Macaca mulatta: one gene and its partners. The protein of the gene in region 3 binds, or shares a complex with, the protein of the main gene of each other region. Links are inferred from orthologs where the notes say so. Each region holds a gene or a part of one and is shown on either strand. Other genes may lie near its edges.

The links.
Region 1: the proteins of PPP2CA (region 3) and PTPA are in contact, whole or in part, in a crystal structure (PDB 4LAC), measured with the Homo sapiens proteins. The link is inferred for Macaca mulatta from reciprocal best matches to the Homo sapiens genes PPP2CA and PTPA. Residues at the interface, in NP_002706.1 of Homo sapiens: Arg89, Gly90, Tyr91, Gln122, Gln125, Val126, Tyr127, Gly128, Asp131, Glu132, Arg135, His191, Asp205, Arg206, Pro213, Arg214, Gly215, Gln242, Leu243, Val244, Met245, Asn249, Asn264, Cys266, Tyr267, Arg268, Cys269; in NP_821068.1 of Homo sapiens: His31, Thr32, Val33, Ser133, Arg134, Phe135, Lys138, Arg141, Asn180, Thr182, Arg183, Arg235, Glu237, Pro238, Gly240, Ser241, Gln242, Gly243, Val244, Trp245, Asp248, Asp249, Phe250, Phe294, Ile295, Met298, Lys299, Thr300, Ala304, Glu305.
Region 2: the proteins of PPP2CA (region 3) and PABIR1 are in contact, whole or in part, in a cryo-EM structure (PDB 8SO0), measured with the Homo sapiens proteins. The link is inferred for Macaca mulatta from reciprocal best matches to the Homo sapiens genes PPP2CA and PABIR1. Residues at the interface, in NP_002706.1 of Homo sapiens: Arg89, Gln122, Val126, Tyr127, His191, Trp200, Pro213, Arg214, Gly215, Ala216, Leu243, Met245, Tyr265, Cys266, Arg268, Cys269; in NP_612206.5 of Homo sapiens: Asp95, Leu96, Ile97, Arg99, Glu100, Thr101, His103, Glu104, Arg105, Val107, Gln108, Met111.
Region 4: PPP2CA (region 3) and STK25 share a complex: the UniProt entries of both Homo sapiens proteins name them as parts of the core of STRIPAK complex. The link is inferred for Macaca mulatta from reciprocal best matches to the Homo sapiens genes PPP2CA and STK25.

The regions. Positions count from the first base shown.
Region 1 is NC_133420.1:18,531,779-18,535,802, reverse strand, and holds the start of PTPA (serine/threonine-protein phosphatase 2A activator), read left to right. Parts: upstream 1-1,224; 5' UTR 1,225-1,434; coding exon 1,435-1,465; intron 1,466-1,521; exon of another isoform or gene 1,522-1,625; intron 1,626-4,024. UniProt on the Homo sapiens protein: PPIases accelerate the folding of proteins. It catalyzes the cis-trans isomerization of proline imidic peptide bonds in oligopeptides. Acts as a regulatory subunit for serine/threonine-protein phosphatase 2A (PP2A).
Region 2 is NC_133420.1:99,819,374-99,823,440, reverse strand, and holds the start of PABIR1 (PPP2R1A-PPP2R2A-interacting phosphatase regulator 1), read right to left. Parts: upstream 2,801-4,067; 5' UTR 2,797-2,800; coding exon 1,807-2,796; 3' UTR 1-1,806. UniProt on the Homo sapiens protein: Acts as an inhibitor of serine/threonine-protein phosphatase 2A (PP2A) activity. Inhibits PP2A activity by blocking the substrate binding site on PPP2R2A and the active site of PPP2CA.
Region 3 is NC_133411.1:143,102,164-143,104,929, forward strand, and holds part of PPP2CA (serine/threonine-protein phosphatase 2A catalytic subunit alpha isoform), read right to left. Parts: intron 2,021-2,766; coding exon 1,931-2,020; intron 1,445-1,930; coding exon 1,283-1,444; intron 148-1,282; coding exon 29-147; intron 1-28. UniProt on the Homo sapiens protein: Catalytic subunit of protein phosphatase 2A (PP2A), a serine/threonine phosphatase involved in the regulation of a wide variety of enzymes, signal transduction pathways, and cellular events.
Region 4 is NC_133417.1:146,800,741-146,805,001, forward strand, and holds the start of STK25 (serine/threonine-protein kinase 25), read right to left. Parts: upstream 2,801-4,261; intron 2,745-2,800; coding exon of another isoform or gene 2,412-2,744; coding exon 2,382-2,411; exon of another isoform or gene 2,032-2,381; intron 1-2,031. Other genes in the region: uncharacterized protein LOC106992798, read left to right, coding at 2,410-2,744, 2,801-3,467. UniProt on the Homo sapiens protein: Oxidant stress-activated serine/threonine kinase that may play a role in the response to environmental stress.

The DNA.
Region 1 (4,024 bases), on a different chromosome or scaffold from region 3:
CCACCGGCCTGTCTCTGGGTCTAAGGGTGGGGGTGCTAACTGAAGCCGGGTCCCCCCTGTCTTTCCCGGGTCGTTGGAATTGAATGCTCCAGGACGTGGGTTCAATCCCACTTCTGACGCTGCGCCCGAATCTCCTGCTCTGCCAAACCTGGGACGCCCGCCTGGCCCCACCCCACCCCACCCCATCAGCTGGAGGCCGGGTCGGATAGCGGCCGCAGGACGAGGTCTCCGCTCCCGGGCGCAACCGCACGGCCACCCACGCCGTCCAGGGCCCTCAGTCCCTGGCTCCGCCGCACTCACCACGGTCCTGGCAGCGAAGGCTAACATCTTTGCTGCCCGTCCGCGGACACGCAGTCCGCTCCGCCCCACACACCGGGCAAAGTCCGCGCCGCCGCTGCAGCGGCTGGGGTTGGTGGGTCCTTGCTAGAGCCTTCGGGCCAAGGTCGCTGAGTTACGGCCGCCAGCCGGTAGAGGCGGCCCCGCGCCCACCCTCCGGGCCGGGCAGGCACCGGGGAGGAGGATTCGCGAGGCGGGGCCTGGGCCGGTAGCGGGCCCCGAGCCTGCAACGGAGCCCGGGAGGCTGGCTGCGGGGCGGGGGCGGGGCCTCGATGGGGCGGGGCCTCGATGGGGCGGGGTCTCCTTGGGGAGGGTCAGGAGGGGCGGGGCGTCTCCCGGTAGCGGGTCGCAGTAGGCTGGCTGCGAGCTGGGGACGGGGCCACGGCGGGTGCTGGGACAGAGGGGCGGGGCCGACGGCGAGTCATTGGTTGGGAGGCCCCGCAAGGCGTTGAGATCTGTGGAGTAGGAAGGAGGAGGCCACCGTCCAGCTGTCTCTCCCCCGCCCCCGCGTGTCTTCTAAGCTGTTGGAGGTAGCGGTGTGCACCTCTCCAACTCCGTCTGGTGTTCTTGAGCGTAACTCTTAGAGTGGTAGGAAAACACAACCGTGTTGTCCGGAGAATGTCCTCTCATATTCCTTGGATTAGGGTCACTACCACCCACAAAGATGACAGGTGGTACTCGGGGACAGGAGACTGCCCCGGAAAAACATGGCTGTGCACAACCCAAACTTGACGCCCCGCACAATCATGGCAGCCGCGGCGCCCGTCGTTCCGGCAGCCGTTAGCGGACCTGGCGCTTGGGGGCCGTTGGCGCGCATGCGCCCCGCGCGCCCCGCACTGACATGGCCGTCGCCCGAGTCCGCGCGTCCGCCGCGCGCCGGCCGTTAATGGGCATGCTCCCTGAGCGCCCCGCACCGATATGGCGGCCGTCGTCCCTGGGGTGACTTTAACTCTCGGTTTTCGGTTATAGCCGGCCGGCGCTCACTTGTCTTCAGGAAACCCGGAGCCTTTGGTGGAGCCGGGGAGAGGAAGGGTGGGTGCAAGCGTGAAAGGCGAGAGGGGACTGCAGGCATCCGGGCCGGCTCCTGGCCGGAGCAAGATGGCTGAGGGCGAGCGGCAGCCGCCACCAGGTAAGGCCGGCGGGGCCAGGCCGGGCCGGGGTCGGGTAGGGTGAGGGCGGCGCCAGGTGTGGGAGGCTCAGGAGGGCGAGAGTCAGGACACGGAGGAGCTGGAGGGGCAAAAGCTGAGGGGCCCCGAGGAGAAACTGAGTTGAATGGCCTTAGGGGAGAGGTGGGTGATGGGGCACCGCTGGGAGGGAAGCAGGGGCTGCAAAGGGGTGGTGATTGGGGCGCAGCTCTGGGTTTTGTGGGAGTCTGGGCTGCCCGAATGCCGGGTGGGCAGCACCGTGGTCATAAGGGGGGCCTTTTGCCTCTTTGGGCAGCGCGTGCCTAAGTCAGCCGTGAACCTGGTGGGGAAGTTGCCAGGGAAGGGGGCGAAAGTGATTCCGGAGGCTGCCGTGTTTATTAGTCGCTGCTCAGGGGATGGGGTGGTGCTCAGTGGGCCGCGCCTGCCTCGCCCCCAGTTTCAGCTTCCGCGCCCTGCTCACCCCTCATCCTCCTCCTCTCTGGTTTCCGTGACTGAGAATTTATTGAGGGAAACTGCCCGTGGTGTCTAAACCCCTAATTTTAAAAGGCTGGTTGTGCAAGGAGGTTAGTCTCTCTCTGGCATCTCCTTCGGTAACTCTTATTTACACTGTAGCCTCTTTTTAGTTCATCTCAAATAACTGGGATGGAGGTGCTACGGAAGGATCTTCTTAGAGACCCCTTTCATGGAGAAGGAGGAGGCTGGACTGGCCATAGATAACTTTTACATTCCCGACAGAGAGGCAAGTAGGTTGGCCCACCAAACACAGCTAATGTTTTGAAATCATTTGATATTCCTGCTATCCTGTCTCCAATTTTGTGGTCCCTGGGAAGATCTCAGGAGGGAGAAATGTTGAAAATCAAAAAAGGCATCCTCTCCATGCCCCACAAAAGAGATGAACAAAGAGCTGGGTTCTGTTTCTTAGGACATTCGAAACCAGACATTTTGTACAAAACCTCTGTGTGTGTGCCCTTAGAACAGGGGTGTCCAGTCTTTTGTCTTATCTAAGCCACATTGGAAGAAGAATTGTCTTGGGCCACACATAAAATACACTAACAGTAACTAACAAGAGCTGATGAGCTAAAAAAAAGTCACAAAAAGAAAAAAGTCTCATACTGGTTTTGTGGTTTTTTTCTTTTTTTTTTTTTGAGGCAGCGTCTCACTCTGTCCTCCAAGCTGGAGTGCAGTGGTGTGAACGCCTCCCGGGTTCAAGCGATTCTCCTGCCTCAGCCTCCTGAGTAGCTGGGACTACAAGCGTGCCACCATGCCCAGCTAATTTTTGTATTTTTATTAGAGACGGGATTTCACCATATTGGCCAGGCTGGTCTCGAACTCCTGACCTCGTGATCCACCTGCCTTGGCCTTCCAAAGTGCTGGGATTACAGGCATGAGCCACCGCGCCTAGCCGGTCTCGATCTCTTGACCTCGTGATCCGCCTGCCTTGGCCTTCCAAAGTGCTGGTGTTACAGGTGTGAACCACCACACCTGGTCTATGTTTTAAGAAAGTTTACAAATTTGTGTCCGGCTACATTCAAAGCTGCCCTGGGCTGCGGGTTGGACAAGCTTGCCTTGGAAGTTCTGGTAATGACTCTGGGCCGGGTGGCTCACACCTGTAATCCCAGCCCTTTGGGAGGCTGAGGCAGGCGGATCACTTGACGTCAGGAGTTTGAGACCAGCCATGGCCAACATGGCAAAACCCTGTCTCTACTCAAAACACAAAAATTAGCCGGGTGTGGTGGCATATGCCTGTGATCCCAGCTACTTGGGAGGCTGAGGCAGGAGAATCACTTGAACCCAGGAGGCGGAGGTTGCAGTGAGCCGAGATTGCACCACTGCACTCCAGCCACTGCACCCCAGCCTGGGCGACAGAGCAAGACTCCATCTCCCAAAAAAAAAGTTCTGGTAATGATATCAGGAGAGAGGAGATATAAGGCAACCACTGTTATCAGTGAGATGAATGTGTCCCTTAGGATGAATGGGGGTGGAGAGTGGGAGGAGAGAGAACCTGTGTCCTGAAAGAGAGGAAGGCTCAGGGAGGTTATCCATGGCTGAAAAGAGCCAGGTCCCTGAACATGGTCCTTTTTTGAAATTTGAAACAACTTTTGGGAACAGCTGGAAAGAACTTCTTCTTTTTTGTTTTGTTTTTTTTGGACACAGAGTTTCGCTTTGTCACCTAGGCCGGGGTGCAGTGGTGCAATCTCAGCTCACTGCAACCTCCGCCTCCTGAGTTCATGTGATTCTCGTGCCTCAGCCTCCCGAGTTGCCGAGGCGTCCACCACCATGCCGGGCTAATTTTTTGAATTTTTAATAGAGATGAGATTTCGCCAAGTTGGCCAAGCTGGTCTCAGACTCCTGGCCTCAAGTGATCCGCTGCCTCGGCCACTCAGAGTGCTGGGATTACAGCCGTGAGCCACCGCGCCCGACCAAGAAAGTTCCTCTTAACTCAGTGTAATGATGAAAACTTTGGATTTTGGAGTCACACATATCTGGCTCTGCCTGGCAAGTCACAGCCTCTGTGAGCCTCAGTTACCTCTCTCTTTTTTAAA
Region 2 (4,067 bases), on a different chromosome or scaffold from region 3:
GTGAGAAGATTAACAATTTCTGTGTTGAAGATAATGAAGTTTAAATACCTCTGGAGGCAGGGCAAGTTACCCAACAAGAAGTCAGACTATTTAAGTTTGAATTTGAAGAACAAGGTTGAGAATGGGAGCACATGAACACTATTACTCAGAAGAGAGAATTTTAAACCTGTGGACACAGTCTTACCCTCAATGCAATTTCACTCCATCTTGAGGCAACCATCAAGAGTTGACCAGTTCCATTTATTTTCATAGTCGTAAAAATTCCACAAAATTGTTAGTCTCTGTAAGTGATAACTTTAAAAAGTCAGAGCTTTTGTCTTGTTCTGAGTCATTTTTCCCCTTTCCTCTTTGTATGCCATTCTTTCTGTCAAACTATCTAGTTAAGGAAGCTATATGAGGTATAAGGAAGAATATTAAGAAAATTTTGTTATTCTTATTGTCTTAATTGTAAAGGCAAAGAAAAGAACATTCGACTATTCTACCTTTAGCAAAACCTAAGTTAAATAATGATTTACCTATGTGACTCTCCACTAATTTTCTCTTGCAAATCATCACCCCTTAATTAATGGACATCCCCAAGGCAGTCAACTCAAGCTGTAGCTTTAACCACAGAGGTTAAACAATTCAGTCCTGTTGTTGCTGTCAGAAATCCAAGTTACACTGTACCTTTGTCTAATCAATGGTGCCCTACTTTGGTGGGAGATGAAGGAAGGGACCTGTTGGCAAGGAAACAGCTGCTTCCTTCCTGAACAAGGGAAAACCAGTAAGGTGACAGATGGGCAGAGCAGAAAAGTAGCCAAAAATTGCTCTGGCTCCTGGTTGGCAATAATTTTTGGAACTGAGGCACAACTGAATATTTTAAAGTATATCAACAATTGAGAGAGAGTATTGTTTACCTGGGCGCGCCAAAGTTCAACAAGCCTTCCCACACATTTTCTACATTTGAAAAACTTTTACGTTTGCAGTAGTACAAAGAGCTTAGCCTTAGCCTATGTACAGTGGGCAAAGACTGCAAGGCACTGTCCCATTTCACTTTAGGATTGCACCCAAGCAAATGCACTTTCTGGTTAAAAAAAAAAAAAAAAAAAGGAAAATTTTTATTTTCTCTATAATATAGTTGTATGACTGACTAGAATTACTATTAAAATCTCATTAAAAATGTTTTCCTTAAAAGTTTACTTTTATATACTTAATTTGAAAGGATTTGTTGCAAACTTTTATAATTTGTTCTCTAATCATTCCCCCTCCCACCCACTTCGGTACCCAGAAAACTAAATATCCAAGAATTCCTGGGTAAAACAGACAACCACTAGATTGATATAACTAACGTATTTTTTTTTTAAGCTGTATAGTTCTTCATCAAATGGAAATCGGCAAACCACTGAAAATAACATTAAAAATTAGTGTGGGCATGAAGTATGGAATTTTAAACATCAGTTTACTATGCTGATTAAGTCAACATTTATATTTTCATCAGAACTTAATAATCCCATAAATAAATAGAGCTCTCAATTATTTAAAAAAATCAAGGGATAACATATGTATTTAGACATAGTAGCAGCGTAAAGATGTATGCTTCAACACACTTATTGGGGAAACGTCTGAAAATATTACTACACTGAATTCAAAGGTATCCGCAGGAACCTGACATAGAAGTTCTCTAGAATAACATCATTTCAGGAAATTTCAAAAAAGAAAAGGGGTCGAATAGGAAATAGCCTCAAATTAATTGACAAAGTTCAGTGTTTGCCCCAACTTGATTATTCTCTCTCTCCACTGCAAAAAGAAAGTCTCAGGATGAGTGAATCACTTAGACGAAAGTTCATCTAGTGGAATAAATGGAGAAGCCGCTTGGGCAGGTGACACAGGAGAGTCGGTGGTAGTGCTGACTTTCGCTGGTGAGTTACAAGAAGATCCGGCACTGCTGCTGTTTCCATCAAGGGTATCCGAAGATACACACACACCAGGATCTGACAGCTGTGCAACGTCAGAAGAAAGCATGTTGGTGATGCCCTGGAAAAATCTCTTTGGCTGATAATCAGTTTCCATTTCACATTTTCTTTTCAATGGTCCAAGAACACTTGGTCTAATGCAATTGATGGGGCTCTGGCTTCTCCGTGTGGTAAATCGGGTCGTTGGGCTGGGAATAGGGCTTGGAGGCAATCCGTTGCTACTTACAAAACTTTGCAAGGATGGCGAAAAACACTGCTTCCCAATTCCCCGAGTGGGTGACGGTGCCGGTGACACAGGAATGAAATCGATGCGCTTGGGGGAGGCGGATTTCTCCACGTCGTTGTCACTCAGGCTGAAACTTTCCTCCCAGGAGTGGCTTATCTGCATTGCGGTCTGCACCTCCCGTTCGTGGACCGTCTCTCGGTTGATCAAGTCCATACCCTCTTCTTGTTTGATCTGGTGCAAGCGGCTGCTGTGCATGCGGACAGGGGAGGCCGGTAGCAGCAGGCCGTGGCGGCTCGGGAACGTTGTGCTGTTCCGCCTGGCGCTCGGCGCCTCGGCCTGGAACACCGGCGAAGTGTCACTGAGGCCGTGGATCAGGGGGGCGCTGTTAGACCTCCTGAGGCCCCCGCCGCCGCCGCTGCCGCCGCCCTCCGCCGGGCTCCCGCCCGTACCCGGAGGCAGCTCCAGGTCTAGCTCCATCTTCTCCTGAGCCATGTCGGGGGCAGGGAGGCGGGGGAGGTGCTCAGTCAGGGACCTAGGATTCCCATTCCCCGCAGTCCAGGGCCGCCGCCGCTGCCGCCGCCACCGAGAATCTGTCAGCGGGCTGGCCCCTCTGCGCATGCGTACCCCTTCGCGCAGGCGCTCGCGATGTCCGTCCTCGAGGCGCCTGCTTTATGCGTAATATCTGCGCGGCAGTGGTAGGGGAGGGGCGAGGAGTAGTCGGGCCGCTAGTCCGTATATTCCTTCAGCAAATAGCTATTGAGCGCAAACTGGCATTGACGAACGTCAATAAGATTGTCATATTCTGGAGTACATATTTATAAAACGAACAAAGCCCTGAAAGAGAGGCCCATGGTGATGTGGGGCTGTATGACGGGGAGTGGCGCTTGCGAATCAGGGAGGGCTTCCTCGAGGAAGGAACAGTGTCCTGAAATCCGAAGAAGTGGGCGAAATGGGTGCGATGTAAAACTTCGCAGGAAGCGGGAAGCAAGGGCGACCCAGCCAGGTGGCAGGCGGGAACCAGGAGGGGAGGAGAAAGTGTGGCCTGGAGTGGAGAGTGAGGGCTGGCGTGACGTGAGGTGGTGGACCAGACCACATTCTGGTCTTTATCTTGAGAACAATGAAAACTTAAAGGGTTTTCAAGCATGGGTATAATAGCAACTGAAAAGCTCACTGGCCTGCAGTCTGGAGAACAAATACTGGGAGATTAAAACCTTACAGAAAAAAGGCCAGAGAGGATGGTAATTTGCACTAAGGTGACAGTGTGGAAGTGGAGATGGAGAGAAAAGTAAATGAGAACTGTTTAGGTTAGGGGAAAAAGCCAAAACCGGGGATGGTACTGATACTGATTTACAGTCATAGTTCCAGCACAAGCATATGTGTGAAGTATGAAGGATTAAAGGAAAACCAGTAGGTCCTCACATTTTAAAAATAAAAACACTATTCTTGGCTCATGTAATTAATATGAAACCTTGATAGCTCATTAAAAGTGAGTTTATTTGTTCATTTATTCAGTCAAGGTTTTTTTTTTTTTTTTCCAGCATACTTACTATGTGCCAAACACTGCTAGGAAATGGGCCCTAGTCTGAGAACTTTTAATTCTTACTGAGGGGAAAATACAGAAATAAACGCAGGCTATTTTCAGATAGTGGTAAAGCCTTAGGAAAAACAAGATGGTGTGATGGAGCACTACTGATAGAAGGCAGCGGACAATTAGAGCTGAGATCTAAATGACAAGCAGCAGCAAGTCACGTGGACATCTGGGGAATGAGTATTCCAAGCAGAGAGAATAGCAAGTGCTAAGGCCCGAGGCAGCCATGAGTTTGTTGAGTAAGCGGAAAAAGAAAGAAGGGCAGTGCTGCTGAAGCATAAGAGCGGCGAGTGTTAGCAGA
Region 3 (2,766 bases):
AATAAAATGTTCAAGTAGAAATACTTACAAAGAGTATTTTAGAGTATCGTCAAGTTCCATGATTGCAGCTTGGTTACCACAACGATAACAATAGTTTGGAGCACTGAAAATTGTTACTACATTTCGGTCATGGCACCAGTTATATCCCTACAAGGAAAAGGAGGCAAAAATCTTACTTTACTCCCTCAATTCAACTAAATGCTACTTCACTCAAGAGAGAAAAAAATCTCTACTCATTCCCACCCCTGCCAAAGGGGCTTAAGAAATGTTAATACTTTTTTTCTGGTTGACTTAATAATTTGCTGTACTTCATACAACCTGTAAGATACATACGTATTTGTTTTCCCCCTAATTACAAAATTTGCTTTTAGTACTAAAAAGAAAAAAAAAAAGCCTTTAACAAACAGTGGCGACCACCGAAGAATGAACTGCTTCTCATGTATCTGCCTTGCTGTAAATGATGGTGTCTCATTAGCCTCTTCTATTGCAGTGGTCTTAAAACATGATTTAAGAATGAGTATTTAAGTGGCCATTCCCTAGAGAAGTAGATACCTAATCCTGGAGATCAGAACCTTACCAATTTCGTCAGTTACAGGTAAAGGCCTGTAAGTCATTCACTGCCCAGGAACAAATGTGATATGCCTCTAGGATCTCCAGCCTTGTTTCCTCAAAATCCATCCATCTGAATGCATGAGCTACTTTTGTTACTTTTTGTTTAGTATTGTTCACAAATTTATTTATCTTTAGCAAAGTCAGATTTTATTGATAACCACAGAGTTGTACTAGTATTAATCTAATTAGCACCTTATTTTAGAAACATGCTAATCAGTGTGCATGTCAAGAACCTTTGCCTCTTTCCCTTCTCTTCTTTCAAATTACCTGTAATCCTACCATCCAAAGGACCACTTAGAACATTTTGGTGTATTTCTTTCCAGTCTCTCCTACATACATACATGTTAAATATATGAAATGACATTGGGATCATAAAATATTATATACACACCCCAACTCCCTACATCTTACTTTCCCACTCTTAGATCCCAAGTACTTCCTAGTCATTCAGATTTCTCTGGAAACATGTTAATGGATTCATTGTAATCAACAACTTGAGCTTTTAATTCTAGTAGTGTGCATCTACTGAAAAGGCTCAGGCTATAATGGTAAACTCATCAGAAGGAATAGATGGAATTTCTCACAAATGTCATTAATTTAAAACTCCCTAATATCTTCTCTCCTTAAGTTTACTAAAAAACAAGTCATATTTCAAATAATAGAAGCATACCTCCATCACTAGCTGGTGAGCTCTTGACACCAACGTGAGGCCATTGGCATGATTAAATGTCTCTGAAATATCTTGCCCAAAGGTGTAACCAGCTCCTCGAGGAGATATTCCCCAACCACCACGGTCATCTGGATCTGACCACAGCAAGTCACACATTGGACCCTAAAAAATAACTTCGTTATAAAATGCCTTTTACAAACATGGTTAACACATTATTTGAGTAATTCATCAGAAGCAGCACCCTAAGTCACCCTCTTTGAGTGATGTTTGTGGACAACGCTAGTAGATTATGCAGTTGAAGTCAAACATCTGCATCAAGTAATATGTATTTTCCAGTAGACTTTATGAGACACAGCTGACATCCATGGGACCCAGCAGTAACATGCCTTAATTAATCTGCCTATATTATGCAAATTTCAGAGTCTAAGACAGACAACCTAGGTCCTAATAAGCCCAGCTCTACAGCTGCTGTGATCTTGGCAGGTTTCTTAATGTCAGCTTCTTCTGAACAATAGGGCAGACAAGAGTGTTCACACCTCAAGTTGTTTTTGAGAATTATAAGAGAGAATACATCTAATGATCTTATAATTAAACCTCTCCACTCTTTAATAAGTTTTCTGGAAAGATTTTATCAAATAAAAGTCATACCTCATGGGGAACTTCTTGTAGGCGATCAAGTGCTCTGATATGATCCAGTGTATCTATAGATGGCGAGAGACCACCATGTAGACAGAAGATCTGAAAAGAGTGGTTTAAAAGGTTAACCTCACCTAAAAAATTTGTAAACATTCTTGGCTGGGCACAGTGGCTCATGCCTGTAACCCCAGCACTTGGGGAAGCTGAGGCAGGAGGACTGTTTGAGGCCAGGAGTTTGAGACCAGCCTGAGCAACACAGCAACACCCTGTGTCTCTATAAAAATTTTTAAAAAATGAGCTGGACGCCCCCATCACTTGGCCCCTCTGGTGTTTCTGTGCTCTGCCTGAATGAGGCCTGACTTTGCAGGATTCAGCTTTGCTCCAGCCCACTCTAAACGATTGAGTACACTCCCATTCTTCCTAATAGAACATCACTGTCACACCCAGACTCCACCTCAAACAGCTCCTTTGAGAAAACTTTTTGGATATCACTCCTGCCCCCTGCCAGAGACTAGTATCTCCATGCTCATAAAATTTTATTATAAGTTCTTTTGTGTGCACAATAATTAGTTCCTTACATCTCCCAGACTTGTCCAAAAACAGTCTGAGAGAATAAATGGGCTACATCATCCACCCCTGTGATCCCATCATATAGTTCAGTGCCTGATATAAAGAATAATGCACTTTAAAAAGCTGGACACATTTGTCAAATTAATTTTTTAAAATTTGAATGAATGCTATCAATATCTACTAAAAAATATCCCTAAAGGGGTATAACAGTGGAAAGAGTCAGGAGCACCTGAACATTAAAGGAAGTTGATTCTCTGAAATAATCAGCAATGAGTTTT
Region 4 (4,261 bases), on a different chromosome or scaffold from region 3:
ACCCACACTCCCTCCCCAGTGCACCCACACTCCCTTCCCCAGTGCGCCTACTCCCTTCCCCAGTGCACCCACACTCCCTTCCCCAGTGCCCACACTCCCCCCCCAGTGCGCCCACTCCCTTCCCCAGTGCGCCCACTCCCTTCCCCAGTGCACCCACACTCCCTCCCCAGTGCGCCCACACTCCCTTCCCCAGTGTGCCTACTCCCTTCCCCAGTGCGCCCACACTCCCTCCCCAGTGCGCCCACTCCCTTCCCCAGTGCGCCCACACTCCCTTCCCCAGTGCCCACACTCCCTCCCCAGTACGTCTACTCCCTTCCCCAGTGCCCACACTCCCTTCCCCAGTGCGCCCACACTCCCTCCCCAGTGCCCACACTCCCTCCCCAGTGCACCCACACTCCCTCCCCAGTGCGCCCACACTCCCTTCCCCAGTGCGCCCACTCCCTTCCCAGTGCGCCCACTCCCTTCCCCAGTGCGCCCACACTCCCTTCCCCAGTGCGCCTACTCCCTTCCCCAGTGCCCACACTCCCTCCCCAGTACGTCTACTCCCTTCCCCAGTGCCCACACTCCCTTCCCCAGTGCGCCCACACTCCCTCCCCAGTGCGCCCACTCCCTTCCCCAGTGCACCCACACTCCCTCCCCAGTGCGCCCACACTCCCTCCCCAGTGCACCCACTCCCTTCCCCAGTGCACCCACTCCCTTCCCCAGTGCGCCCACTCCCTTCCCCAGTGCGCGCCCACTCCCTTCCCTGGGTCTGATCGCACCAAGAACCAACAGCACACAGTCACAGGGCACCTCAGAGCTCCAATTTCTCATCCCGTGACCCAAAGGAGCTATTTCTGCAGTTCTTAAAAATAAACTGGTGGCCGGGCACGGTGGCTCACGCCTGTAATCCCAGCACTTTGGGAGGCCACGGCAAGCAGATCACCTGAGGTCAGGAGTTTGAGACCAGCTTGACCAACATGGTGAAACTCCGTCTCTACTAAAAATACAAAATTAGCTGGGCGTGATGGCACACGCCTGTAATCCCAGCTACTCGTGAGGCCAAGACAGGAGAATGGCTTGTACCTGGGAGGCAGAGGTTGCAGTGAGCTGAGATTGCGCCATTGCACTCCAGCCTGGGCAACAAAAGTGAAACTCTGTCTCAAAAAAATAAAAAATAAAAATAAAATAAACTGGTGACAGATTTTTCTCCCAGCACCTTAGTCATGTAAGTTACCAGATACAGAAAGTCAAAAATCTGTTAGCTTAATTCAGCATCAGTCAGCAAGCCCCAGTCCCATCTGTGACCGCGCAGGTCCAGGCTGCCTGGCCCAAGAGCTGCACACGGTATTCCGGGTCTCTAGGCTGGTCCAGTTTCCTCCAAAGCAGCCCTGACTCCAGTTCCTGCCCCTATGCGGACAGACGCCCTTCCTGTTCCACTGCACACCCAGCTCTCAGGAATTCAGCACAGAGGAGTGAACAAGGAGGGCCACACATTTTAGCGGCGATTCCAACACCTTAGGCAGAGCCAAGGCATCAAGGAGAGCAAAACCGAACGCTAAGACGTAAAAAAACCCAGCAGCCAGAGTCAAAAAAATGGGGAGAGGTACACAGTGCAAGTCTCCAGGTCCCAGGCTGGCTGTCCCCACCCTCCTTCCCTGGCATGCCCTGTGGCAGCAGCAGCTGGTCCTCATTCCAGACTAAGGGCTCGCTGTAGTGGCTCCTTCCGAGGCTGTCCCACCAGACGCTTCAAAGTGGCTCCATAGTGGAACCGACTTCTTCAAAGAGGAATGACGAGCCTCCTGTTCGGGCAACCGCCCGTAGCAGGGGTTAAACGGTTCTGAACAGAGCAGCCTTTTCACCTTCCCCTGGGCCAAAGCACACACGCGTTCTCCGCTTTCCCTGCACACCGGCCGCTCAGATCGGCTTCTCCACGTTCCCAGCCCCTCAGCGCCCATCAGGGTCTCCTCTACGGCCCCCGCCCAGCCCAACACGGCCAGAACGGCCGGAACGACCCGTGGCCCGGGCTCAGGCCGCAGTGTGGCCCCTGACCTTCCACTGCCTTCAGATGCCGACACGAGGTTCCCGCCCCGCGCTGGGGGCAGCGTCCTGTCCCGGAGCCGGTGTCTCTTCACGCACCTCCGCCGCCCTCGCACAGGCGGAGCCACCCGGGGCTCGGTGTCAAGAGGTCTGCGAGCTCCTACCACGCAAAACGCCACAAGCACACGGCAGAGCCCGGGGGCCGCCCTGCGCCCACCTCAGGACGGCTCCGCTGGTCGCACGACGCGCGCTCCTTCCCTCACCCACCGCCCGCTCCGGCGAGGCGCCCCTCGGAGCCCCCGGGAAGCTCTGGCGCCCCTCGCTGAGAGGCCGCTAGTCTTCCTGAACTGCACCCTCCTCACCTGGTTGGCAAATCCCCGGAGGTGAGCCATGGCCGGGCCGCCTCAGACCCTCCGCCGACAGCCCCGAGAGGCGTCTGGATCCCGCGGAGAGGCGTGGAGCCGGCTCGCTCGCCCCTGCGGCGTCAGTCCACTGCGAGGGACAGCAGGAGCGGTCGGCGCCCAGTTCAGTCATCTGAGACCTAGCTCCGGGGCGGCGGGCTGGAGGGGGGCCCCAGGAGACCCCCAGGCCATCGGGGCCCCGCCACGCCCGGGCCTACAGCCCAGGCTCCCGGGGACTCGCCGCCCCTCCCGTCCCCGCCCCCACCTCTTCCGAGGCAGCTTCCTCCCGGTGCCCCCGCCCCGGAGTCCCCGCCACCGAGCCCCGCCCCGGGCCCCTCCCTCCGCCCCCTCCCCAATCGCCGCTAACGCGCGCCCGGCAGCGCGCCCACCTCCGCGGGGCTCCATCCCGGCCTCCCCCGGCCCGCTCTGCAGCGCCCGCGAAGGCTCCCACCCGCAGCCTCTGTTCGCCCGGGGACCCCGGGCCTCCCAGCCCGCGAAGCAACGGCGGTGGCGGCAGCGACAGGAGAAAGCCCGGAGGAGGCGACGGCGAGGGCGGTATTCGGCGTCGCGGCCCGCGCACGGCTCTCTGGGACCCCGAGTCCCACCGCCCATTCCGGGCCCGGAAGCCTGCTGGCGTTGGACTACAAGTCCCGGCAGGCCGCGAGAGAGGGGCGGGGCTCACATGCGCGCCGCGAGGCTCTCTGGGACCCCGAGTCCCACCGCCCATTCCGGGCCCGGAAGTCTGCTGGCGTTGCACTACAAGTCCCGGCAGGCCGCGAGAGAGGGGCGGGGCTCACATGCGCGCCGCGAGGCTCTCTGGGACCCCGAGTTCGGCTCCCGAAAGGCTTGGACTGCGTCTCCCAGCAGGGCGCGCGGCGGGGCAGGCGGGGCACGTGGTCGTTGTCGCGTCGCGTCTTCCGTGCCTCGCCCTCGCTGGCCTTCTGCGTCTGCTGGCGCCTGCAGGGCGTCGTCTCCGACGTGACGGCGGCCGCGCGGCGTTTCCCTTGGGCTCTGCCCTGCGCAGCCCTGGTCCGAGCTGGCCAGTAAGGCCCCGCGCCCTCCCCGCCTCGCCCCGAGGATCCACCGCGGCCGCCCAGGCTGTTGGCCTTGTCCTCACGGCTCGGAGATAAGCCGGCGCTGGTCACACCGCGAAACCCCTGTTCGCACCGAGACCCCGCTCGGGATCATGCGCACAGGCCAGGGCGCAGCAAGCCTTGGAGAAGCTACCTGCACAGCCCATTCCTTGCGCGAGCTTCGCATCTTCTGCCTCAGTTTCCTTACCTGTAAAGGGGTGATCATAGGACATCCTTGGTCACACCTTTGTGGGACCCACCTGGGCTAGAGCGCGGTACCCGCCCAGGACAGTGACTGCTGCTGGAAACCGTCGTGGCACTGGGGTCACCTCCCCAAGGTCAGGGAGGGACTTGCAGAGCCCAAGGCTACCTGGTGCACCCCCCTGCCCCGTGGGCCGCCAGGTCATAGTGCCCCCTGTGTGCATTCCCCTGGTGCACCGCAGGGATCCCCACCTGTCCGGTGAGGAAGATTTGTCTGTCCTCCACTCTGTGTCCACCCTTACAGGCCCTCAGTTTCCATGATGGCTCAGCACAGATGACTATCCTGACCACCTCACACCCCTCCTTCCTCAAGAGGGTTCTGGCGTTTCTCTTTGCTCCCTGGTGCGTGTTTTCTCATGGTGCGTTGCCAAGTCCTTTAAGAAGCCATGTTTCCCTGTCATGCATCCAGGACAGCCCCTTGAACCCCTGGGTCCCCATCTCATCACCCCTGCTTGTTGACATACTGACTTGGTTTTGTTTGTGCTTTGACTCCCCAGGAGGAAGTGG